Caenorhabditis elegans: one gene and its partners. The protein of the gene in region 1 purifies or fractionates together with the protein of each later gene. This does not show direct contact. Each region holds a gene or a part of one and is shown in the gene's direction. Other genes may lie near its edges. The genes, in order: rfp-1, hsr-9, B0395.3 and usp-3.

Region 1 (6,004 bases):
TTGATGATATAGTGGTGCATATCCTGCTGCTGCAGATGGATCATAGTGATTTGATGAAGCAGATGATGAGGCATGTACAGAAGTTACGGGACGTGACGGCGTTAGATAAGCAGTGTGATTTGGAGGCTGAAAATGTAATGCAATATTTTAAAACACGTTTTACAAGATAATTTATTTAAACTTTATAAAACTTACTAGTTGCACGAGGTTTTGTTGTTCCTGCTCTTTTATCTTATGTTCCGCTATTTTAACGGACTCCTTCAATACAGCACGTCGGGTGAACATCAGAACATCCTGAAAAATGTTTCATAACGCGTTATAATACGAGGTTGCAATCAAGTCCTGATGACTACGCCTGATATTGTTTGTTGAAGAATTAGTCGCATCTTTTTTTGAAAGCATTCTATATTCTCACCCTGATGTATATTGACTTGGTTAGAAGAACATCAACAGATCTGGAGTCTGCGAAAGTTATAATGCAGAAGTGAAGCGGCCCTTCTGAATCCTGCAACAATAAAAATTAACATGAAATAAACATACAAATAATTAAAAACTTACACTGACAAATTCTACATCTGTGATTTTTCCGTAGGCTCCAAAATTCATTTTCAGTTCTTTTGAAGTTAATCTGTCTAGTGGAAAATAAGAAACAAAAAGTCGTTTTGATTCTACTTTCAACTTCTTATCATTTTCATCTTTTGCTGGCTCAACAGTGCATTTGGCTCGATCGATTTCATGAATATCTGATTTCATGCAATTTGAATATCCGTTCGAATCAACGAAAGTGATGTAGGCGTAGCCTGCGCTAGTCTTTCTCGGCTCTTTGATAAATGCTTCACCTTCTCCAATTTTTTCTGGAACTCGGCATTTTTACTTTTTTCAAAAGCTTTCGAACTTACGTACTCATGTAACTCTCAAAATCGCCGTGTTTTTCAACATCGTATCGTTCGACATCGAGCTCGTCATCTAATACATCATCATTTTCCACAGGCTCATATCGAATCGATGATCGTGTTGAAATTTTCTCCTCGTCTGGTCCATTGTCGAATACCTATAAAATGAAAATAATGACATTTTCTATCAGAACAAGAGTTTCTGTACCGAATATCTAGGAGGAGGAGGTAGAATGCACTCGTATAAAGTTCCAAATTGTTCAAAATATTTTTTAACTGTCGATTCCGTTGTATAGCTATCCAATCCTTGCACAAAAATCCTTTTTACCATTGTTATTTGGACGAAAGACCGAAATTTGAGGAGAAAAAAACGAATTAAGAATTCGAAAGTCCCGCAAGTCTCGTAAATGCTGTTCGGTCGTAAATCTACCCCATTTCCGTCTCTTGACCGTAGTCACACACTCTCTCACTCAGGTCTCGCAACGAAAAGAGTGCCATTTGAAATGTCTCTTTGGAAATCTTTTTGTAATCACCTTTTTTGCACTCCAAAAACAATAAAATTGTCATCAAATCTGTTCAAAAACATTGATTAAGTATCCGTTAATATGTTTAAAATCTTTTCCTTGTTTTCCCTGCTTTCTACCATCTCTTTAACATTTTGTATACAATATTAGAAACGTATTGATTTCAGGTATGATGAAAAGAAGTAATGAAGGTATAGGAGGAGAAAATTATGCAAGTAGCCCGAGTGACGATGGACAACAAAAACGACGCAAAATTCAATTCGAACCGGTCCGAATGCCCGCTGTTAGCAACGTGGTATGTCTTTCATTTAAAATCGAGGATACTATTAATAATCCCTAACGATTTCAGAACGATATAAGAGCTCGTGCCGTAGTTTATCAGACATCTAAATTAAAGCAGCAATTGTTGTACAAAAATAAGCGAATAGCCGAATTGGAAAAAGAAAATGAACGGTCCAAGAGGCGGCAGCAGACAGACGAAAGCAACTTTCTGAAGGTTTATAATATGTTCTCAGATGTACGTTTTTACTTATTTTCAGATTGCAATTAGTTATTTTCTTTTTCAGATTGAGAAATACATATGTACACAAACTAAGAATGAGTTTGGAGAATACATCGGAGGAGACACTGCACCAACTGGTATAGACGTTCTTGGAATGACTAATGAAACATATAACAAGTTCTTTGATCAGGCAAAGCAGAATTTGTGAGTTTTAAATTATTAAAATTCACTCTTAATTTACATATTTCTATAGACGGAATGCATTCGTATCGTATGCTAAAGCGCGCCACGATCGGGCTCACGAATCCACCATTTTCATCGATAAACTAAAAACATTGATCGATTCTCCTACCTTCAATCCAAATGGTGTCCATAAGGAGCTTACAGCCAAAGCAGCAAGTTTAGCTATACAAAATGAAAAGCTTCAATCCGAAGTTACCAAAGTTCAAAGCGATTGTTACAATTTGGAACGGAAAAAGCGTATTCTAACGGATAAGCTTTCTGTACAAGAGAACAGAGTTCAAGAATTAGAACATCAATTGGAAGATGCCCGATTTGAAACTGACAAACATATGCGTCTTGCTAACAAATTTGAGTACAAACTAGCCACCCTCGTCTCGGAGGGACAGTCTGGAGGGAACGGAGGGGCGACACCGTCTTCGTCGGGTACAACAAATGCTACTGAGAAGAAGATATCAGCTCCAGATATTCCACCAAGTGAAACAGCTGCAAAAGAAGTGAGATTTAAAAATTTTTTATCAATCGAAATGAATAACGCATTTTTAAAAAATAATTTCAGATCGAAAATCTGCGTCTTGAACGAGATGAACAGGAATCCATTGCATCACGACGCCTTCAAGATCTCGAGGAGATGAATAAAAAAGTTCAAACATTAACACAGGAAAATAGCAAGCTAAGACTAGAGGTACCGTTTTGACTATATATTAATTTTTATCCATTACAAAAATATGAAATTTTTACCCGAATTTCTTCTATTACCTCTGAAATAGTTGCAGACACAAACTTTCTTCTCTGTGGATTCAATTGTCAACTCGGAGGAATACAAGAATCTTAAAAAGTACTACTCATTAGCAATTAAAGAATACGAGCGAGTCAGCAAAGATCTTGAAGATATCACAACAGAACGTGATGCTTTCCGCAGTGCAAAGGAAGCTCGTGCAATGCTAATGTCTGAAGAACATCAGAAGACGCTGAAGGAAATTCAATGTCAATCGGATATTCACAATTCTTTCTACAAAGTATCTCATGACAGTGAAGTTCTACGCTGCGAATTCGAAACTGTTAAGGAAGAATATAATAAGACGGTGAAGCAAAGCGAGTGGGATGAAATGAAAGCAACTTTGAATACTCTACGATCTATGAATAGATCGTTAAAATCAGAGAAAATTCGTTTGCGCGAAAAGGATAAGCAATCTCAAAAAGATATCAACACTCTCAAGTCTGAGTTAACTTCACTGAAAGAAGCCCAGGATAAATGTCTACTTGTTCCTCTTGAAGACGTTAGTAATGCTCCACCGGAAGATGTTAATAAAATTCGTCAAGAATACGAATCTTTGTGTAAAGAAGTAAAACGACTGGGAGCAATGGAAAAACAGGAGAAGCAGAAACAAGTCGAAGTAAGTCATTGTACCTTATTTGACAAAAATGTGTTTTCAAAGTACACGTCCTTTCGTTATTTGGTACTTTCAGTAAACTCTAAAACATTATTTCTGCGTCTGTTCATATCTCTACAATCCCGTGTGAGAATTTACAGAAAGAAGTCAATCGTCAAATTGCTGATAAATTGTCCGAATTGGAGACTCTTCGTAAGACCAATGAAATGCTGACTAATGACGAAGAATGCATATCTGATGAGTTAGAAGCCATTGGAACAGCTGTAGAAGAAGAACAAGAACGGAATGCTCAACTGTACATTGAGAAGCGGGAACAGGAGGATCGAAATCTGAAAATGATGAATGATCGAATGATTCAGAATCAGACATTTAATCGATTGCGTGAAAAATTGTCTTGTTTGGAAAGTAAAGCACAAACAGATGCTCAAATAGCAAAAATGCACGAATTTGAGAAGAAAGCAAATGAAGAGTTGGTAACTAAACTGTCGGAATCAGTTCAGTTCAAATCTGCCGAATTAACGTTAGTTTTGAATGTTAAGAAATCCATAAATTAAAATATCATTTTTTAGACGTCTCACAAACTTGATGGAACAACATAGAAAGAACATTCAAGAAGTTGGAATGTCACGAGACGAAAACCAAATTAAAGCGGATCGATGTGAAGGTCAAATGAAGCAAATTCAAGAATTATACGCTGCCAAGGCACGTGAAATCGAAGATTTTAAATTCAAGAGACAACGTGCTGAAGAGGAACTTGAGACGCTTCGAATTAAATATGAACGAGTAAAACGAAATGAGTCTGTACCGGCTCAAAGTGGTGATCAAGTCCTCGAGGAAGCGAATCGACAAATGAAAGAAACACTGACTTGTCCATCATGTAAAACGAGGCCAAAGGATTGTATTATGCTCAAATGCTATCATTTATTCTGTGAAACTTGCATTAAGACTATGTTAGTTTCATTTTTCAAACACTAAAATTGGTTGGTTTGACCTAGACGCAAAAATTTTCAATTTTTAATTAAAAAAAATGTATCGACACGCGTCTTTAGAGAGTACTGTAATTTCAAACTCTTGATGCTACGAAATTTTCATCAATTTTTCATAGTTTCTCGATAAAAAATGTCAACTGAATATGAAATTTAAAAAAAACCCGAATTTTAACAAATTGTGAGAATTTGGTATTACAATACCTATTTCTCACAATCTTTTAACTAATAAAAAAGTGCAACTAGTTATGAAAATTCCGCTAAAACAAAAGTCTGAGACTACAGTACTCTTTGAAGACGCACACCTTTTCCCATTTAACAAAACATTTTGTCGTGTATTTTCAGCTTGAAATTTCGCGTCGGAGTAAAACGAAAAATACATATTCAAGCGATATCTCGCATTTCTAGCTTATGATTCAAAAAATTCCAGGTACGACACTCGTCAACGGAAATGCCCGAAATGCAACAGCAACTTCGGAGCCAATGACTTCCATCGTATTTTCATCTAGAACCGCCATTAAATTATTTAGTAAATTTCCTCATTTTCTCAATCTCTCAGTTCAACATGGGTTTCTGTCCTCCGTTTTCTCTGTTTTGGTCCCTTCCCCTCCCCCCACCTCTCACAGCGCAATTTCTAAGCTTCTATCTTAAACTGTCTCATCCTATCAAGTTATTGAATCACTATCTCTATAGTTAGTCGGCTTATATTATTTGAATTCTGTTCTGATACTCTGAATCTCCGTGATGATGCCACGGCACGCACACATCCACAAGTTTATGAACTTTGTTGAAGTTGATATTGATATAATTTTGAAGTTGTAAATTCTTATGTTTTTTCTCATTTTATTAAAAATGTATAGTAATAGTTATTCTTGTTTCAAAAATTATGCATGATGATAATATATCAAAGTTCTGAATGTTGACTAGATTCTGTTGGTGCTCCACCTCCTTGCATAAATGGGCAACCACCACCACCACCCTCTGTAATTGGTGGATGACGAGAGAATGGCTGAAAATTCAAGAGATTTTATTTGACTGGAAACAAAACTTTTACTTACATCGGAATCCAGGAAAAGTGTGTGATCTGGAAGAACAAGAGTCTCCTCGAATCCGAATACTTCGTTCACTTTTTCAACTTGAAGATATCTTAATGGATGTGGCTCTTTTGTTGAGAGAACTTCTGTAATTTCGGTCTCGGCACGATGAATTCTTTGTTAAATTCAACAAAAATCACGAAACTTCGCGTATGGCTAAGTATCTGGAAAAACTCACGATCCGCTTCAGATGTAATAATCATCTGGAGAATTTTCTGAAGATGATCAGGGCATTTAGGCTTTGAAATTGGAATTCGATGCACTCGATCCTTGTTCAAAAACACAATTATTGATTCGTTCTCCCCAACTCCCAATGCTTTTTTGGTTTTCTTAATCATCTCACTTTCCCCATCAATTTTTGTGAAAATATA
Region 2 (7,099 bases), on another chromosome or scaffold:
TCGGAATCAAATATAGAAGAAGCAGGAGTTACTCCGACGAACGCCGAATCCAAAAACATGTCCTCAGGGCAGCACAGTAAACAAAACTCAAGTGATGAGACTCAATCTCGAGGTTTATTTCTAGATAATTATTTCTAGTTAAAAGTTGAATTTTTAGACCGATCTGGTTCGGGTGTATCAGGAACTTCATCGAATGGCGAGGTATCATCTACTCCGGGTAGGACTGTTTGGCACGGAGGTGCGTGTGCATTGCTCCAGATTTCCCAAGATAAGAAGAACATTTTGTTCACGGCAATTCACAACGAGAAGTTCGCATGCGAACTTGCTAGATTCCGCTTTTCTACATCTAAATAAATGTCCACCAACATTCATTTAAAAATTGTATCTATCGTTGTATGATAACTAATCTTTAAAATTTTTCCGACTTCCAATTGATCGCAAGTTTGTGAAACCATAAATAGCTTAACCCTGTATTTTATTTTCTTTATCAGAAATGCCTTTCGCGATGTTTAGCGAAATAATTTGGGTATCAGAATAGGAAGTTAGTTTCTGCTAATAATGTTTCAAATTTGATTTCGGAAGAGCAAGTAGATATATTAATGATTGTATTCAAGTTCTGTAGCTTTGTTCTAAGGTCCACTAAAGACGTATAATATTTTGTAGACTGATTATTTCACTATTCAAAAAAGTGAGAACTATACAGGTGTATATATTCAAACGTTTCGGGCGAAGTTTTTCTTTAATAACTTTTTTTTCTGATTCATAATTTGCGCCATCATCTTACTTTCTTGTTAATGGAGATGTATCATGAAGTTTTTTATAACAACAACATTTATAACACAAACAACGAGTGTTTAGGCTTGTTGTCCAGAGGATCTGAGGCTGGTGGCGATTCTGTCAAGATCCTTGCGTCCCTGCAAAATTTAGTTTTAGTACGATGTTGAAAATTTCGAGAAAATTCAAAAAAGAAAACATGCAGAAATTTAATTTTAATATAAACATCTAATTTTGCATGTTTAATTTTCAGCGCATATATTTATGAATAATTTTTAATAATTTATTTTTACAAAAAAGTTCGAATTTTATATTTTTAGATAATAAAATAGAATACTCACCTGCTTGGAGAGAATTCTTCCTTTGCCGTCTGGGTGCTTCTCAACCCACTTGATCTTCTCGAGTTGCTGAACAGCCTTTCTGAGGCAGTTTCCAGCTGAGGTTTGGAAATGGTTTGGTGCAACACCACGTCTCTTGTTTCCTCCGTAGACCTTCTTGAAGGCTCCGATTCCTAAATAGAAAAATAAGTAATGATTTTGTCAATAAAAAGTTACCGGCGGGGCGGAAATACAAGTGACGAGCAAGACTGGCAGCACGGGTGTAGAACCAATCTGGATCGACTGGGGCAAGCTCCTTGTTGACTCCGAGCTTAACAAGATCGGACCACTCTGGAACCTTAACCTTTCCACTCTTCTTCAAGAAGTGAGCGATGGACTTGGTAGCCTCGTGCTGGTCGACGTCCTTGATGGAGGTCGCTCTCGTCATTTTACCTGAAAAGGAAAAGTATAGCTTTGAAAAAATCGTATATTAGAAGACGGAAAGAAAACCCACTGCCAAAAAAACTATTCTTAACAACAAGCGCTTCAGAAAGTGGATATTATTTAAGAAAACTGTAAACGTAACATATTTCCTCCCAATCAATACATAGAAACTCGAAAAACCGTGAAAATCGCGTCAAAAAATTGAAAAAACCTGTAGGAAAAGAAACGAAAAAATTCTTCACCGCTGATCGTAAGACATAACCTGCATACCAATTGGCTGCGTAGCGACTCGGCACGCGACCGCAACGCACCGGGCGACACTCAGTACATTTTTTGAACAGCGGGGGCGGGCGTTTGAATTGAATTTTCAAACGATTTTTTTTGACGTCGTAACTTTTTGTTTCGCAGACACTTTTACGCTTAAAATGGCAAAATTAAACACATATGTTACAGCATAGACTTGAAGAACTGAACTGCTTGGAGGAAAATGGCATCGTCTTCGAACACTATGGGTAATTTTTTCGATATAATAAGAATGTGAAAGGTTAATTAATATTTTTGCGGGTCAAGCATATAAAATTCAACCTTATTGAAATTAAGGTGGTCACTCGAAGTGAATATCGACTCTAAAAATTAAACTTAACTTACGTGAAGTTTTCCTTTTATTTTCTGTTTTCAGAATTCGAAGAAGACGACTCCACCGTCACACAGACAAGGTTACCTGCTTTTCGAGTATCCATACATATTTATCCCACTATTTCAGCCTCCCCACAACAACTTCAGTTCTGGATAAAAGTAGGAGTCTTTTTGGGAACTCTGCTGTGATTTCTGTAAGTCCAGTGTGTTTGTATTAATCTAAAATTTGCTTACTTAGACCCCAGCTAGAGATTCAACTCCTGATGGGCACATAGTCGATTCGAGTGTCATTACCAAGTCATCAGTTATCATAGAAGCGGAAGACGAGCCAGATGTAGCTGCCGATGTTACTGCACTTGATAAAGAAAAGGCAGAAGATGAGCCACAATGTTCAGCCGGTAAGGATGCTAAATCTGGAGAAAGCATGAACGACTCGGAAAAGTCTGAATCACCAATTGAAGAAGGAGAGGGAGAAACTTTCGAGAAAAAAATTATCTCGATGGATACTAGTGACGATAAATTAGACATTGCTGAATCGATTTCTGTTTCAAATGATACCGAGAAACCTGAAGAAAATGAAGAAAAGGTGGTTGGAGATGAAGATGAAGAAGATATTGATGATGTGCAAGAAGACGACGAAGACGAAGCTCCAAAAAAGAAAACTAAGGTTTGTTGATAATTCGAAAAACCTAATTTTAATCAATTAATATTGAAGAAGGCAGTGTCAACGTCAGATGACGACGATCTGCATGAAGATGATTCTCCAAAAGGAGGTAGTGTGAGCGACGAGAAAGAAGAACCAGAGAATGAGGACGATACAGAGGAACCCGAAAATGAGGTTGAAGTAGAAAGTCCAGTGAAAGAGCAAGCAGATAGTGGTGAACCTATTGAGAATGTTAATGATGACAAGGCGTCTGAACCAGGCGTTGGTGAGATTTCACAAGACAGTGTTGATGATTCTCAAAAAATTGGTCTCGATTCAAAATCGCCAGATGGAGAATCAGAAGCAAATGAAGAGAACCAAGAATCTCAATCTTCTAGCCGCAGCACTCGTCGCGCTAAAAGAGTTTCAGCAACTGTTTCGTCTACTCCTTCGTCAAACACTCCACGCCGTGGTGGTCGTGGGCAAAAATCGGAAGTGAATGCAGATGAAACGAAAACGCCCATTGTTAGTAACAGCACCCCCAGGCGTGGTCGATCTTCCAGGGGTGGAGACAGAGATGAAGTAATTGATCCTACGGAGAATGTTGTTGGCGACTCTGGCGTTGAAGAAACATCACCGCGCAAGGGAAGATCAAGACGCTCTGTTGCAACAGAAGACACATCTGTCACCGAGGAAGTTGAAAACACGGAACATCCAACTGAAGAAGAAACTCCGAAACAGGGGCGTGGAAGACGTTCAGCTGCATCTTCTTCAGCAACTTCGTCTGCAGTGCCAACACCGCGGTCCACAAGAGGAAGAGGAAGAAAGTCGCAAGCAAATGAGGAAAACTTGCAAGAAAAAGAAACCGAAGACCCTACAAAAACTCACGATACAAACCAAGCGAAGTCCACCCGAACTCCGCGAGGAAGGCGTTCTAATGCTGATGCTGAAACTATGGAAAGTGTAGAAGCTGAGAAAGTCGAAACTCCAACATCATCTCGTAGATCTACAAGGGCTAAGCCTCCTGCAAAATCTGCTCCGGTGACGCCGGCTGTGACAAATAAACGAACGACAGTTCGTGGAAGAAAGAAGCAAGGTTCTATCACAGAAGACCCTATCGAAGAAGCTGATGAGACTATTGAAGAAACTCTACCACAAAAGAAAGGTCGTGGAGCAGCTAAAAGTGCGCCTTCATCGAGCAAGAAAAGTGCAGAATATGATCCATATGATCTTGATACTGAAATGGAGCATCATCCAGAACCTTTGAAGAATATTCACGTGAGAATTAAAAATTAATGTTTATCTGTAATTTTGCTTGTTTTCAGATGGAAGTGCACAATTTTGGTGCTGTCAAGTATGCCAAATTGGGTAATTCAGAGTCAAAGTATTCTATGACAGAGAAGGCGGCAGAGTCTAGAATTGCTGAGTTACAATGTAAGTTGTTTTGTAGTTTCTTGAAATTAAGAATATCTATGCTTTCAGCTTCTCCTGCTGCTAAGAATCGGCGTTCTCTTGCTGATATGACTCCTGGTAAAGATAAGATGAAGCATAGAGTATCGTCTGTAGGAACTTCGGGAAGAAGATCAAGAGCTAAAAAGGAGGAAGAACATCACGAAAATGATATTGAAATGGAAGATGCGCCTGCAACTGCTACCCCAGCTTCGTCAAATCGTGGAAGAAAGAGAAAAAGTGAAGCTTCTGACATCAAAACACCTCCGGCGAAAAAAGAACCAGTTATTCCTCTTAAAAATCTATCTGATGAGGATCAACTACTAGTTGATCATCCACAAGACGATAATGAACCTCATGCTCCTGGAGCTCGAGTCTACGCTGTGTTTCAGAAGATGTTTTATCCCGCTGTCGTTCTTTCGGAGCGTGATGGTCTCGGAAGATACAAGGTACAATTCACGGTTGATAACGTCATTAAAGATGTTCCAAATTCTGGAATCATTCCACTTCGCGCTTTATCCCCTGGCAAAACTGCAGTCTACAACGAATCCGATGTTCGATTGGATTCTGGTCCTAACGATATTAGTGCTGCGGAATGGAAAAAAGGAAAATTAACCATATCGATCATGGATGAAGATGGGGAACCAACTGACGAAGTGAAGGTTGTTGATTGGTATGATGTTTCTTTCGATCATTCAGAATGGCGAGACTATGTTAAAAGCAAAGATCAAAGTGCTACGGCTATTGTTACGTCTAATATTACTACAATATCGGAGGCTACTCGTGCTCGTAAGCCAACTACAGTTTCTAATCAAGCAAAACCAAAAGGTCGTAAGAAGAAGGGAGTTGATCTAGTTTCCTCTAGAGGAGGATCAGCAAGTCCGGCTGAAGAAGAAGAAAAGCTTTTGCCAATGAACGAGGAAGCTATTGGAAAGAACATTTTCACCGGAAAGGTCTTCATGCTAACTTCGGCCAATCGTTCAAATTCTGCGAGTGTTCCTTCAATGTTCAAAAAGAAGAATCTGATGAACTTCATTACTCAGAATGGTGGGATCGTCACGGAGCAGCTTAATGTAAGATAACGTCTTACAAATAACATTCTAATCATTTTATTTTAAGAGCTTCCAAGAGCGTTACTCCAACTACGAACCATTGCTGATTTCTGATACGTACTATCGTACTCACAAGTACTTGGCAGCTTTAGCTCGTGGTGTTCCTTGTGTTAACAATACATGGTTACAAGCATGTGGTGAACAGGGGAAATGTGTCGACTATACGGACTATGTTCTTCCTGCAGGTGCTTCAATTTTTGACGAGTCTCAGGATATGCCAGCGTAAGTGAACTTTCATGATGAATGATTTCAATTCCGTTAGATTTTTGATTTTTATAACGATTCTGAAAATTCTGATCATCGAAAACATTTAAGGCCCAAAAATCCATCAGAGCTTTTGAAAGGAACAACAATTTATGTACACTCAACTCACTCAGCTCGTGAAGTAACACAAACTGGACCCGGAGGAACTTTCATCGAGATTTGGAAACCTATTCTTGAGCTTCTCGGTGCTGATGTAGTCGACGGAGACTGGGAAACTCTTGACGAAACAGGTCTCAAATTTGACGTTGTTTTAGTTGATGGAACTTTCCGTGACGAAGTCATGGAGTATGCAGATACTATTGGAGCAAGTAGAGTCACTTCCGAATGGGTTATCCAAGTGAGATTCCGTTTTCCTCGTCGTTTAATTGTTATACATTTTTCAGACAATAATTCTTGGCAAAGCTCCTGAGCCAAATGCTCATCCAAAATTCGATCCATACCGTCTGCATCACCGCACGCGTCATTGAATATCATCTCATCTCACCCCCTTTCCCCATTTCCCTTCTCATTTTGTACACTACGTTTTTATATCAACTTTTTAAATAACTATTCTACTTTCCCTACCGTGCTCCATCCGCTGAAATATCGTCGATCTCTTACTCGAAAATTTACCCGCTCAGTGTGCTGGTCAACAAGCGGTGACATTGTATGCGTATTCATTAACCATTTTTTGTGAATTTTTGAGCTCTTCCCAATTTATTATTATAGAACTGCATTTTCTAAGCCCCTGTTTTGAAGCTCTTCCATCTTTTTTAAATCACGATCATCATTCCTTTCCCAGTTACTTCTGCAACGTATTTATTATAATTTATTCGAAAGCTTCTGAGAACTTTTTAACTATTCCTTTTTGCATCAAAGAGTAACCTAACATAGTGTTTTACTAACCTACAGTACATTCATATGAACACCTTTTGTTGCTTATTCTGAAATGAAAAAATGAACTGTACCAATAACGTTGTCAATTTTCTTGATTTGGCAGCATTAGTTTCAAACAATTAACAATATTTCAAACAGTTCGTTTTCTCTGAAATTTAATGCATTCCCAATTGAGCTCTTTAAATTAATAATTGAGAAACGGGAAAACTACACTCAAAATAATAAAACTGCGTGGCGTGTACTGCAGAAAACCTCATATTTAGGCCCCGCCTTTTTCTTGTCCACTCACGGAGAAAAGGCGGGGCCTAAATATGAGGTTTTCTGCAGTACACGCCACGCAGTTTTCTTATTTTGAGTGTACTCAACATCATGAATTATAAAAAAAAATATCGCTTGAAATATTCGAACTTTTGATTTCTACTTCCCATCAATAAAGGCCCATCAATAAAATTTAAAAAAAAAACATTTAATACATTGTTCGGAAATAACGACAGCCACAAATTCCGCTTTCTGAGCGAAAAAATATAAAATAAACAGTTTTATTCGATTCTTTGTATAAAACAACTATTTTTCCTCTTGTTTAA
Region 3 (6,537 bases), on another chromosome or scaffold:
GATAGATTTCCAAATTTTCGGGGATCCAAGTTGCTTTCAAAAAGTATTCAATTTAAAAAAAAAATACTCCAAAGACAAAATGTTGCTAAAATTTTTTATTTGGAATAAAAACAATGATGGGGAAACATTCGAATAACATTATATTTCCGCTAATTATGAATTTGAGAAGCAAATTGCAAATATTTATGCTTAGGCGATTTTTTTAAAATTTGTTTCATCAGAAATTGAAAAAAAAAGTTTTAATAATGAAACTCCATTAGTTTTCTGAAATAATATTAAAACGTTTGGTTCAACTTGTAATTTCCATAAGTTGTGTCTTAAAAAATGTCAAACAGAAAAATTAACACTTTCACTACACAATCCAATTACTGGCTGCCATCCAAATCCAATGACCTCTTCTCATTAACTCACACCATTTGGCTACACATCGTTGTTTTCTTCCTCCATTTCTCGGCCTCTTTGTGGATACCACGCGGGGTTTTTGTGTGGTAGGAGAGAACTTAACTTGCCTCCATTTCCTCCCCCCCCCCCCCCCACTCTTTGGACACAACACAACTACTCGGTTTCTTCTGTTTTCGCTGCCTGTGTTTTCTGCGTTCCGCCTGGTCTTTCTGTTTGTGCCCCCTACATCACCACACACACACACACACACACACACTCCTCTCTTCCCATATGACCCCTGCCATTCACCCGCCGTCACTCGTTTTCTAAACACTTTGATCTTACGCCCCAAACATTTGGAACACTTTTACACTCTGAAAATCAACAAATTATTTTTTTTGTTTTGTTACTTTTTAAAAATGTTTTTTAAGTTTTAAATTTTCCAAAGAAAAATAAAGATATAGTATAGATATTTTTGAAAACTACTCACATAGTGCTAAAAATGACCGAATAAAAAAAATAAAACTTTTCAAAAAAAATTTTGAAATTTTTTTATTTACTGTCAAAAAGTGACAATTACTCAGTTTTGCCACTCATAATTTTAAAAGTCGACCAAAAAAAATGTTTTCTTATATTTTTTTTACTTTAATTTTGTTTTAATTGATCGTATTAAAACATTGTAAGGGTTGGAACATATGACATTGCTCATATTTTTTAAAGTTTTGGCAATTTGAAATTATGAAAAATTTTAAATTTTTAAATTTTTTTGAGTGTTCTATTATGATATTCGGTTGTTTTTGACAAGTGTATGTAGATCAAATCCCCACAGGCGCTATTCTTTAACTAAAATTTAGTTCCAAAATATTAAAAAAAAATTATTTAAATTTAAACATGTGAGAAAATGCAAAAAGTTGTTATAAAATTGCCAGATGCCAAAAAAAAAACGAATTTTTTTGTGAGACTTCATTTATTTTTTGAAAATTTTTCAAAACAATTTTCAATTAACATACAACAAATTTTTTTGGTTAACAGATCACTCTTCTATTATTTACGCTAAATTAAAAAAAAATTGCATTGAACCAACATGGTGCATTCCCTTTTACATTCTCTTTCTTTCATACAAGCTTACATTATATTCATCAATTTGAGTAACAAAACCCGTCGAAAAAATGCTGAAATGTCAAACAATGATTCGACCACAGATCTCCGTGAGTTTCTCCCCAAAAATATTAAATGCTGACCAAAATGACCATATAAAATTTGGACTACGGCGTAGTGTAGTCTGAATGATCATTGATAACATTCCCCCACCCGGGTCTTCCCCCACAAAACGTCTTTCACTTATCACTATAGTAACTTTTCGCAGCGTTTTGTGAGGGATTACCTGTTCCCTCAAAATTTTGAGCATTCAAAATTCATTTTGCAGCAACTAATGAAGCACAGTGTCAACGCAATGGCCGGAGGTCACGGTGCAGCCCGTTATAATTCAACAGGTGAGACTAAACCTTTTTTTCGATTGTAAATACATTGATGACGTTTCAGACCTACCAAAACTCCCGGCTCCACAACCAATTAAAACGCTGAAACACTTCCTGGACTTTGCACAAGCGTTGCAGTCAAAAAAGGAATTTCAAGAGACAAAACAGGTAAAAATAAAAAAAAACATTTGGAGCAAAACAAATGTCAATTTCAGATTGTAAATGATTTTGTGGTTAAGGATTTGCCGAAATTGCAAGAACTGCTGCAGAAACGAGCCGACGCACTTCCGAATTGGGTAAGATTTTTAACACTTTTTTCTAAAAAAAATAATTAGAAAAATAAATTCAAAACAACTTCCCCATTTATGATTAGGAGTAGTTAATTTTCAGTTTGGACCAAAAAAATAGAAATGTATCAATTAACTTTATAGGTTTAGCTTTACTGCAAACCAATGACACCTTTAAGTGTACCCTAAACCTAATTTTAAAAAGTTTGATACTAGAAAACTTTACAATATTTTGAAAATATTTAACGGCATAAGTAATACCTATCAGGTATTAGGCATAATGTTGGGCGTTTATATTAAATAATTTTTTCTTTGCAAAACAAACAATTTCTTGGAAATTGGTCCACAAAATAATCCGCCAGCCTATAAATTGAAAACATCAAAATGAAATCAAAATGTTGCTGAAAAAGTGACAGGGCCAGCGCCATAAAAATAGATTTCCAAATTTAACACATGGTTTTATAATATATCTAAAAACTAACTATCTTAAAATTGAGCAAGTTGGCGTTTTTTTACCGATTCAAACAAAAGATTTTCAGCTCACACCATGGTGGCTCAACATCGCCTACCTAGCTGCTCGTACCCCACTTCCAGTCGTCACATCTCCAGGAGTCATGTTCCCTAAATTTGACTATAACACCGAGGAGGGACAACTGGAATATGCAGCAAAAATCAGCCAAGCCGCTGTCCACTTTTACCTTCGAGCAAAAAAGTAGGCTTCTGGTTCAATTCGATGTTTTTTAGTTTTCAAAAAACATTTTTTCAGTAATCAGTTGAAGCCTGATATGGCAGGAAAGTCGCCGCTTGATATGAGCCAGTACCAGTTCTTGTTTGGAACAACTAGGGTACCTAAGGTTGGCGTAGATGAGATTAGATATGGATGTGACTATAAGGAGAAATTGCAACACATTTTAGTGATTAGAAATGGACATGTGAGTTTTTAAAAAATGTTATTTAAAAATTGTATCACTGATTCTTTATAAAGACTAATGAGGTTATTCAATTAATGTTGCAAAATGTATTTAAATACATTTATTACGTCACAACTGTATTAAAATACAAGTTTTCAAAAAATGTATTTTAATATAGTTTGCACCTAATTTTTCTACACTTTTTAATTTTTCGACACTTCTTGAATAACCCCATAAGACTTCAGTTGTTCCATCTAATTGAAGTTGAAAAAAATATTGCAAACAGATTTCAACAAAACCGTTAAAATCTCCCTACATTTTCAGCTCTTCCGCGTCCAAGTCCTAGACTCCAACGAGCAGCCACTCTCAATTTTTGCTATTACTCAGCAACTGGCAAAAGTCGTTTCAGAGAGTCAAACTCCAAACCCACATCCAGTGGGAATTGTCTCCTCCGATAGTCGCGACAAATGGGCAAATGTATACTCATCGCTGAAAAGTGAGCTTTCGAGAAAAAAAGTTTCAAGCCAAATGTAGAAGTTTTGCTTAGCTCCATTGTGAAGATTTTCTTTGAAGCTAGCTATGCTGATAATAATACTATTTTCAGAGGATAACAACAACGCGAAATCCCTGGAAGCCGTCGAAAAATCGTTGTTCGTAGTCTGTCTTGACAAAGCTAGTGAACCACCAGTTGGCTACACGGAGAAAGATGAGCAAAGTAGGCAGGCACTGCATGGTGGCGGCTCCAAAGTGAACTCGAGCAACAGATGGTTTGACAAGACTATTCAGGTGTGTTATTTAGTTTATCCACGGCGTGTCAGGCTGTCCCATTACGGTTTGATCTACAAAAAATGCGGGAATTTTTTGCCCATAAAAATTATACGTCAACACGTTCTTAACCAGACGAAATCAGTTGAGAACTCTGCGTCTCTTCTCCCGCATTTTTTGTAGATCTTTGTAGATCAAGCCGACATGAGACACTCTTACACCACGTGTTTATCGTTCATGCACTCATTTTTTTGCATTTGATCAGTAGAGCACATTTGCATTGCAATAGCAAAAAATATACCTGGAAATTTCAGTTTGTCATCGGAACAAATGGCTACACCGGAATGACGTATGAGCACACTCCAGCCGAAGGACCACCAGTCGGTGCACTCATGGATTTTATTTGTGATCAATTGTGAGTTTTTGAAATTTATAACTGATTACAAAAAAATTTGTTGAAAAACTTGAATTTGAACAGAAATTTAAAATGTTGTCTTTTTCGTTTTATCGTTGGGTCAAAAACCGGAACTGTGGCACTTTAGGTGGAGTAGCGCCAGTGGGGAACTTGTGAAAAACTACTCCTACACATGGTGCCAAAATGACCGAATATCATAATAAATCCTTTCAAAAGTTTTTTAAAATTTTTTTATTTACTGTCAAACAGTGACAGTTACTCAGTTTTTCCACATATAATTTTGGAAGTCGACCAAAAAAAAAATTTTTCCTACATTTTTTTATACTGTAGTTCTGTTTAAATAATTTGTCTTAAAACATTGCATGTGTCGTTTTTCAAAATATTGGCAGTTTGCCAAAACTTCGGCCGGAAATTATGAAAAATCGAAAAATGTTTGGAGTGTTTTATTATGATATTCTGTCGTGTTGGATCATAATAAGTGTATTCAGACCAAATTCCCACTGGCGCTACTCCACCTTTAACCATAGCAATATAAATATTTCTGATCCTACGCTTCATCAAACAAGTTTATTTAAAATGTTGCAAAAAGTATTCTGGTAGCTTGGATATCTTCAGTTAGTAACATTTAAGATAATATATCTATTATATTTCCTTCAATTTTTCAGTGATGCTAACACATTCATTACTGAAGGCACACCTTCCAACTCCCCAGTGCAACGTCTCGATATTTCCACTGACGAGGAAATCAACAAAAGAATCGCCAAGAGCTCCAAGAACATGGACAGCATCGCCGAGGACCTTGATATCGTCGCGTTCACGTTCAAGCCCTACGGAAAGAATTTCCCGAAATCCTCAAAGATCTCGCCCGACTCGTTCATCCAAATGGCTTACCAATTAGCTTTCTACCGGATCCACTCATCGCGTAAGTCAATTATCCCCCATCTTACAATTTGATGACGAATTAAATTTCCAGTTCCACCAACCTACGAGACGGCCACTTTGCGTAAATTCACCGAGGGTCGAACCGAGAACATCCGATCTCCGAATACAGCTGCAGCATCATTTGTCAAGAAGGTGTGTGTTTGTGTGTGACCTAGATCGATCACCCAATTTAACTCACTCAATTTTCAGATGGTATCTAAGCCTCCTACGCCGGTTAGTGAAATCTACGATGCACTTGTTCACGCAACAAATTCGCATAAAAAGTACACCATGGATTGTATGGATGCAGCTGGAATGGACAGACATTTATTGGCATGGAAGTTGATCGCTACTGAAAATAATCTCCCAACCCCAGAAATCTTCGGTTCCAACATCTACCAACAACTCAACCATTTCCAAGTCTCCACAAGTCAAGTTCCCACACGGCATTTCATCCAAATGTGCTTCGGACCATCTGCCCTTGATTGCTATGGAATTTGCTACAACCCACAGGAAACTGAACTTCACTTTATGATCTCAACATTCAAGAGCTACGGCTCGACGAGTTCCAAGAAGTTTGCCAAGGAACTTCAAAAGGCGCTAATTGACATGAAATCGGTTATTAATAAGGCTACAAAAGAAATGTCCAAGTTGTAGGAGATCATATTTTGATACTACTTTTTTTTAAAGAATAACATTTCACACGCCATAACTAGTGCTCCTACGTGTTCAGATCCCAATGTTTTTTTTTCTGCTTTATTGTAATTGATTGAAAATGCTTGTAGATATTTTATGAAAACATTTTATATGAATAAATAATTTGTATAATAAATACGTTTCCGTCAGAGGTGTATCACAAATATCCACGATAAATCTACAAAACATCTAATATTGGGGTGATAGCCAAGAAATAGAGAAAAAATGTGATTGATTTCAGAATTGTTTTGCTAAAATCGATAGTTTAAAATATGCTATTCCTGCCATAAAAATTGTGTGCATTTATCTAGCAGACCGATCAAAAGATTTTTGGTACAAATAAGCATATTTTACAATGAACCAACTTCTATCAAGTAACTAATATTTATTTTTTCTGTAAAAACTAGTGACAAAACTTTTGTACAGTTTAAAAAATAATTCTCAAATAAAATCAACAAAATACAAAAAAAAAAAACGAATACCCCGTGTGACAAATAATTAGAGATTTCATGAAGTTGGTGGGTGACAATTCCAATGTCTCGGGAACAAAAGGTCCACAACGGCATTGGAGTACGGGGCACAGTGTCCACGTCTCGCGTACCATTCTTGGCCGTAGAAAGCAATGAACATTCCGGTTCCTGAAAGATGGTTGTATTTTAGTGGTTTTAACATGTTCTAAAGCA
Region 4 (4,873 bases), on another chromosome or scaffold:
AACACAAAAATGGACGACTCCCGTTTAGATGGAACGACTCTTTATAAAAAGGTCACACGAGAGACGCCTTCGGTTGAGTCATACAACTATCAGCCAAGCAAAGAACCGAAAAGCTTTGAAAGCTGCGAAGCCTGCTATCCGCCCCGCAGGCGAAGAACGGATCGACCAAGTACCCTGAGTGGCGTGCCAGGACTCGGAGTAAGCATTCAAAAAAATTAACAACGACAAATGGGTGCAAATATAATTGGTGAGACGAATGGAGTGAACAACAAAAAAAAAAGATTTAAGTTTAACAACAATTTCATTAGGAAACAATAACGAGCAGCAGTATTTACTTCTTGCTGGTCTTCTTGACCTCGGACTCGGAGTGATGGGAAGCCGAAGAGCGTCTGCGGGCGATCTTGGCGTCGTGCTCTTCCTTGGAGTACTTGGCGAGGAGCTTGTGGTAGGCAGCGGCGTCATCGCGCATCTTGATCTTCTGGTTGCGCTTCTGGCGGAGAAGGTACTTCTTTCTGGCGATACGAGCTGGGGTGATGAGACGCTGGATCTTTGGTGCGATGGTCTTGGTGACTCCTGGAAATTTAGACAGTTAAAAACTAAATTTAAAGAGAATATTGAAGAAACTCACCATCTGGGAAGGTCTTGTCGTGGGTGATGACGTATTTGGTGACATCGTCGTGCTTGGTCAAGTTGAAGAGCTTGCGGATCTTGGAGGCTCTCTTTGGTCCGAGCTTGCGTGGGAGAACGGAGTCGGTGAGTCCTTCGATCTCTCCATCTCCCTTCTTCACGATGACGAGGGAAAGAGCGGACATGTTGGCGTCGACGATGCATCCACGGACGGACTTTCTCTTGCGCTCTCCGTTCTTGCGCTCACGGTAGCAGGATTGTCCCTTCTTCAAGAGAAGACGAACACGTCCGTTGGTGAGAATTCCTTGCTTCATTGGGAATCCCTGCTTGTCGTTTCCTCCTCCGATTCTGACGACATATCCCTGGAAAAAAGCAACTCGTTTGAAAGAGCCGAGAATCGGTTCAAAAACAAAAACTGGGACTCTCAATGTATGTCTAGTCACAGCCATTTCAGCGAAGAAAAAGCACGTGAAACAATGAGGATTTGACACAGAAACATCACTTCGTTTCTGTGTTTTTGGGTGACTCGCTAACCTTCCACTCGTCACCGAGAGCATCGATGGCGACCTCCTGGGACATGCGCTTCTCGAAGAAGAGGCGAAGCTTCTTCTCCTCATCGACCTCGAACGACTTTTGGAGCCCGGTGGCTGGGTAGGCGAAGTTAAGTCTCATCGCTCAAATATTATTACCTGCAAGAAGAAAAACATTGGAAATGAGTTAACGGGGTGAGAAAAGGAGAAACTGAAGCGAAAAACGAAAACATGGGCCTAAAACTAATAAATTTGATTTTCCAAGCAAATATCCTGCGAAATGTGGAGGAAAACTATCAGGAAAACATTTAAAATTTTGAAAATTCGAAAAAAAAACCGAAAAGTTCGCCTAAAAATGAGAAATTCACCCAAAAATTCGAGGGAAAAATGAAAAAAGGAGCGAAAACTTTTTAGGCCAACGACAATTCCAGTTTAAAGGCGCACGCCCTTCGTGGCGAGACCCATCCCCCATCCGCCTCGTCGTCTGCTGCACCCCACCTTTCCCACACTATCTCGTCCGATGGATTTTATTTTTTTCCAAACTTTTCCGATTTTCCGACTCGATTTTCGGTTTTTCTTCGATTTCCGCCGAAAATTTGCTGTTTTTCTTGATTATCGATTTTTTATCCGCGTTTTAAGTGCCAAAACTTTGCTCTCACACTCAAATTGACTGATTTTCGAATTTTTTCAGATGCTTTGCACCCATATAAAGGCGGAAGATTGTGTGGAGCGTGTGCCCAAGGGGATGTTCCGCAAGAAACAGGACATGGAGGACAATAATTTGTTCTTGGAGGGAAATTCGAATCGTGGGAAGGTGGTGAAGTGAGTTTTTTTGAGAAATTTGGCTAGAAAATGGCTAAAAAAAGCTAAAAATAGCTTTAAAAACTCGTTTTTCTTCCAGAAACCAGGAAATAATTAAAACCTTCTGCGACGAATGCGATAATTGCAATAAATCGCTGATGTGCCTCACTTGCGGACGAATTCTGTGCGGAAGAAACGACTCGGGCCACGCTTTGCATCATTTTGAAGAAACCAGCCACCCAGTCGTCATTGATTGCATTTCTTTCGAGCTTTACTGCTATTCCTGTGATGATGAAGTGTCACTGGACTTTGAGCCATCTTTATATGGAGTTCTAAAATCGCTGAAGCTCCTTTTCGACCGGGAAGACGTTATGGAGGGAGGCGACGGGCCGACTATACCGGCACAGCCTTTTCAGTGCGTATTTTTCGAGGAAAATGGACTAAAAATTGGTTAAAAACCGATATTTTATCGATAAACCCTGCTAGAAATCGAATTTTCCACTGAAAAACGTTACAGTTCTCGTAAAAATCGTATTTCCCATGAAAAGTCCGATAAATTGCGATTTTCAGTGAAAAAAACGCCAATTTTCCTCAGAAATTCCATTTTTCTCTCTGGAATTTCTGAAAATTTTGATTTTTCAGTCAAAAACGTTCGTTTTCTCATAAAAATTTATTTTTCTTAAAAAAAAAAATGAAAATCCTAATTTTCATCGAAGAAACTTTAATTTTCCATTGGGAAATCATTTTTTCCGCAAAAACTTGAACAGAACCCTATTTTCCTCACGAGAATCACTAAAATTCCGATTTTCAGGTGAAAAAACATCAAAAAATCGTATTTCGCCCTAAGAATCCGAAAAATTCCGATTTTTCGGCAGAAACTCATCAATTTCTGCGATAAAATTCATTTTTCCCACTAAAAAGCCCCTAAATTGTGATTTTTCAGGGGAAAAAACATCAAAAATCCATTTTTCCTCCTAAAAAGCCAAAAAAATCCGATCTTTCAGCACAAAAAACTTCAAAATCCGTTTTTGCACCTAAACAGCCCAAAAATTCCGAATTTTTCAACGTTAACACTTTAAATTTATTTTAGAAAATCAGTTTTCACAATGAAAAAGCCCAAAACTTCCGATTTTTCAGCACAAAAAACATCAAAAAATTCATTTAGCCCACGAAAAATCCGATTTTTCCGTCAAAAACCTCATATTTTTACTAATTTTTCAATGAAAAACCTCCATTTTCTAGAGCAAAATCACATTTTTCTAAAAATATTCAAAAATTCCGATTTTTCAGCCCAAAAAACATCAAATATCCATTTTTCCCACTAAAAATCCACAAAAATTCCTATTTTCAGTAGAAAAATCAATTTTTTCCACTATAAATGTTCAAAAATGCGCGGTTTTTCAATAGAAAAACGTAACAATAACTCAATTTCCCACTTAAAAGCTCCCAAACGTTGATTTTTCAGCGTTAAATCTTCAAATTTAATTCAGAAAATCAGTTTTTCAACCAAAAAGCCCCAAAATTCCCATTTTTCAGCAGCACAAAAACATTAAAAAATCCAATTTTCCATATAAAAACTTCCGTTTTCTAGAGCAAAATCACACTTTTCCACCTAAAAATATTCAAAAATTCCGATTTTTCAGCCCAAAAAACATCAAATATCCATTTTTCCACCTAAAAAGCCAAAAAATTCCGATTTTCCACTCAAAAATCCTCAATTTTCTTTCAGAACAGTGACCTCAGTCGCCTCAACATTCACCCAAAAGCTCCACGTGGCTCCAGCTTCTCGAAATTCGAAGAAAAAACGTGGAAAAAAGGGAAAAGTCAGTCCAATGTTCGTCGATACACCACCATTCCAGCAGCAGCAGGGAGCCGCCGTAATTCATGACGTCACACTATCATCCACAAATTCTACGTCATCGGGGTCCGGCGGTGCCACGTCATCATCTGAAATTGCCTATAGGCCACGTGGAATGCGAAATGTTGGAAATACGTGCTTTATGAATGCCGTTTTACAAGCATTAGCGTACGTTTTTCACCTCGAAAGTGTGAAAAATTGGCTTTTTTGAGCCGAAATACATGAAAATCGGCCATTTTTGACCCTGAAAATGCGAAATTCATGCGCGAAAATCGGGTGTTTTCCGCCCCTTGAGAGTGAAAAATTGGTGAAAAACGCGATTTTTGACCCTAAAAATTGAGAATTTCATCGAAAATGAGCAGAAATTGTGATTTTTCCGTGAAAATTGTTAGGAAAACGCAAAAATTAGTTTATATTTTGCGTTTTTTAGTTGAAAATTGCAAAATTCTGCAGAAAACCACGGAAAACTCGTGAATTGTGCGTTTTCCGGTCTTAAAATTTAAAAAAAAAACCCGAAAAATGCGTAAAATTTCCTGTTTTAACGTCAAAAATTTTTCTTTTTTAAGCATTAGCGTACGTTTTTCACCTGGAAAGTGTGAAAAATTGGTGAAAAACGCGATTTTTGACCCAAAAAATCGGGAAAATCATCGAAAATTAGCCGAAATTGTGATTTTCACGTGAAAAATGCAGTTTTCTAGCAGTGAAAGGCTATTTTTCATGGAAAATGCCTCATTTTTTCAATAAAAATCGTAAATTTTACGTTTTTAACGCTAAAAATGCGTAAAATTCACCTTTTGAGGTTCAAAAATCCATTTTTTTTTGGCAATTTTTTCTGAAAATTGTATTTTTATAGCGAAAATTGCGTAAATTTCAACTAAAAATTTGAATTTTTGCCCTAAAAATGATATAAAATGTGTGATTTCACAGAAAAATGCCGATTTTTAATCCAAATACCGATTTTCATGGAAAATTTAACTTTTTCACCTAAAAAATGTCGTTTCTGCAGGTTTTGTTACAAAAATCCTATTTTAATTTCAATTTTTGTTGAAAAATTCAA

Evidence for each region.
Region 2: the proteins of rfp-1 (region 1) and hsr-9 fractionate together in Caenorhabditis elegans (co-fractionation; one large-scale study listed by BioGRID). This does not show direct contact.
Region 3: the proteins of rfp-1 (region 1) and B0395.3 fractionate together in Caenorhabditis elegans (co-fractionation; one large-scale study listed by BioGRID). This does not show direct contact.
Region 4: the proteins of rfp-1 (region 1) and usp-3 fractionate together in Caenorhabditis elegans (co-fractionation; one large-scale study listed by BioGRID). This does not show direct contact.

Annotation. Positions count from the first base shown.
Region 1 is NC_003281.10:8,357,041-8,363,044, forward strand, and holds rfp-1 (E3 ubiquitin-protein ligase bre-1), read left to right. Parts: upstream 1-1,581; 5' UTR 1,582-1,586; coding exon 1,587-1,712; intron 1,713-1,766; coding exon 1,767-1,934; intron 1,935-1,983; coding exon 1,984-2,123; intron 2,124-2,172; coding exon 2,173-2,656; intron 2,657-2,718; coding exon 2,719-2,844; intron 2,845-2,935; coding exon 2,936-3,556; intron 3,557-3,684; coding exon 3,685-4,073; intron 4,074-4,122; coding exon 4,123-4,503; intron 4,504-4,969; coding exon 4,970-5,048; 3' UTR 5,049-5,443; downstream 5,444-6,004. Other genes in the region: Putative RNA-binding protein R05D3.8, read right to left, coding at 1-126, 196-294, 416-505, 559-854, 904-1,051, 1,102-1,224; R05D3.9 (uncharacterized protein), read right to left, coding at 5,444-5,548, 5,598-5,719, 5,812-6,004. UniProt on the Caenorhabditis elegans protein: E3 ubiquitin-protein ligase that mediates monoubiquitination of 'Lys-117' of histone H2B. H2B 'Lys-117' ubiquitination gives a specific tag for epigenetic transcriptional activation and is also prerequisite for histone H3 'Lys-4' and 'Lys-79' methylation.
Region 2 is NC_003279.8:9,624,253-9,631,351, forward strand, and holds hsr-9 (Protein hsr-9), read left to right. Parts: upstream 1-1,988; 5' UTR 1,989-2,022; coding exon 2,023-2,047; intron 2,048-2,214; coding exon 2,215-2,251; intron 2,252-2,298; coding exon 2,299-2,365; intron 2,366-2,409; coding exon 2,410-2,838; intron 2,839-2,886; coding exon 2,887-4,092; intron 4,093-4,139; coding exon 4,140-4,248; intron 4,249-4,296; coding exon 4,297-5,336; intron 5,337-5,382; coding exon 5,383-5,597; intron 5,598-5,690; coding exon 5,691-5,976; intron 5,977-6,022; coding exon 6,023-6,106; 3' UTR 6,107-6,596; downstream 6,597-7,099. Other genes in the region: T05F1.2 (F-box associated domain-containing protein), read left to right, coding at 1-112, 158-354; rps-19 (Small ribosomal subunit protein eS19), read right to left, coding at 855-914, 1,116-1,285, 1,329-1,539. UniProt on the Caenorhabditis elegans protein: May have a role in DNA double-strand break repair following gamma-irradiation.
Region 3 is NC_003284.9:16,034,502-16,041,038, reverse strand, and holds B0395.3 (Choline/carnitine acyltransferase domain-containing protein), read left to right. Parts: upstream 1-1,807; 5' UTR 1,808-1,813; coding exon 1,814-1,874; intron 1,875-1,923; coding exon 1,924-2,027; intron 2,028-2,074; coding exon 2,075-2,155; intron 2,156-2,685; coding exon 2,686-2,858; intron 2,859-2,912; coding exon 2,913-3,078; intron 3,079-3,381; coding exon 3,382-3,553; intron 3,554-3,661; coding exon 3,662-3,843; intron 3,844-4,136; coding exon 4,137-4,237; intron 4,238-4,902; coding exon 4,903-5,159; intron 5,160-5,210; coding exon 5,211-5,311; intron 5,312-5,368; coding exon 5,369-5,815; 3' UTR 5,816-6,003; downstream 6,004-6,537. Other genes in the region: mboa-1 (O-acyltransferase), read right to left, coding at 6,362-6,492.
Region 4 is NC_003279.8:13,948,604-13,953,476, reverse strand, and holds the start of usp-3 (Ubiquitin carboxyl-terminal hydrolase), read left to right. Parts: upstream 1-1,846; 5' UTR 1,847-1,848; coding exon 1,849-1,979; intron 1,980-2,058; coding exon 2,059-2,373; intron 2,374-3,687; coding exon 3,688-3,984; intron 3,985-4,873. Other genes in the region: rps-6 (Small ribosomal subunit protein eS6), read right to left, coding at 332-573, 629-989, 1,162-1,299.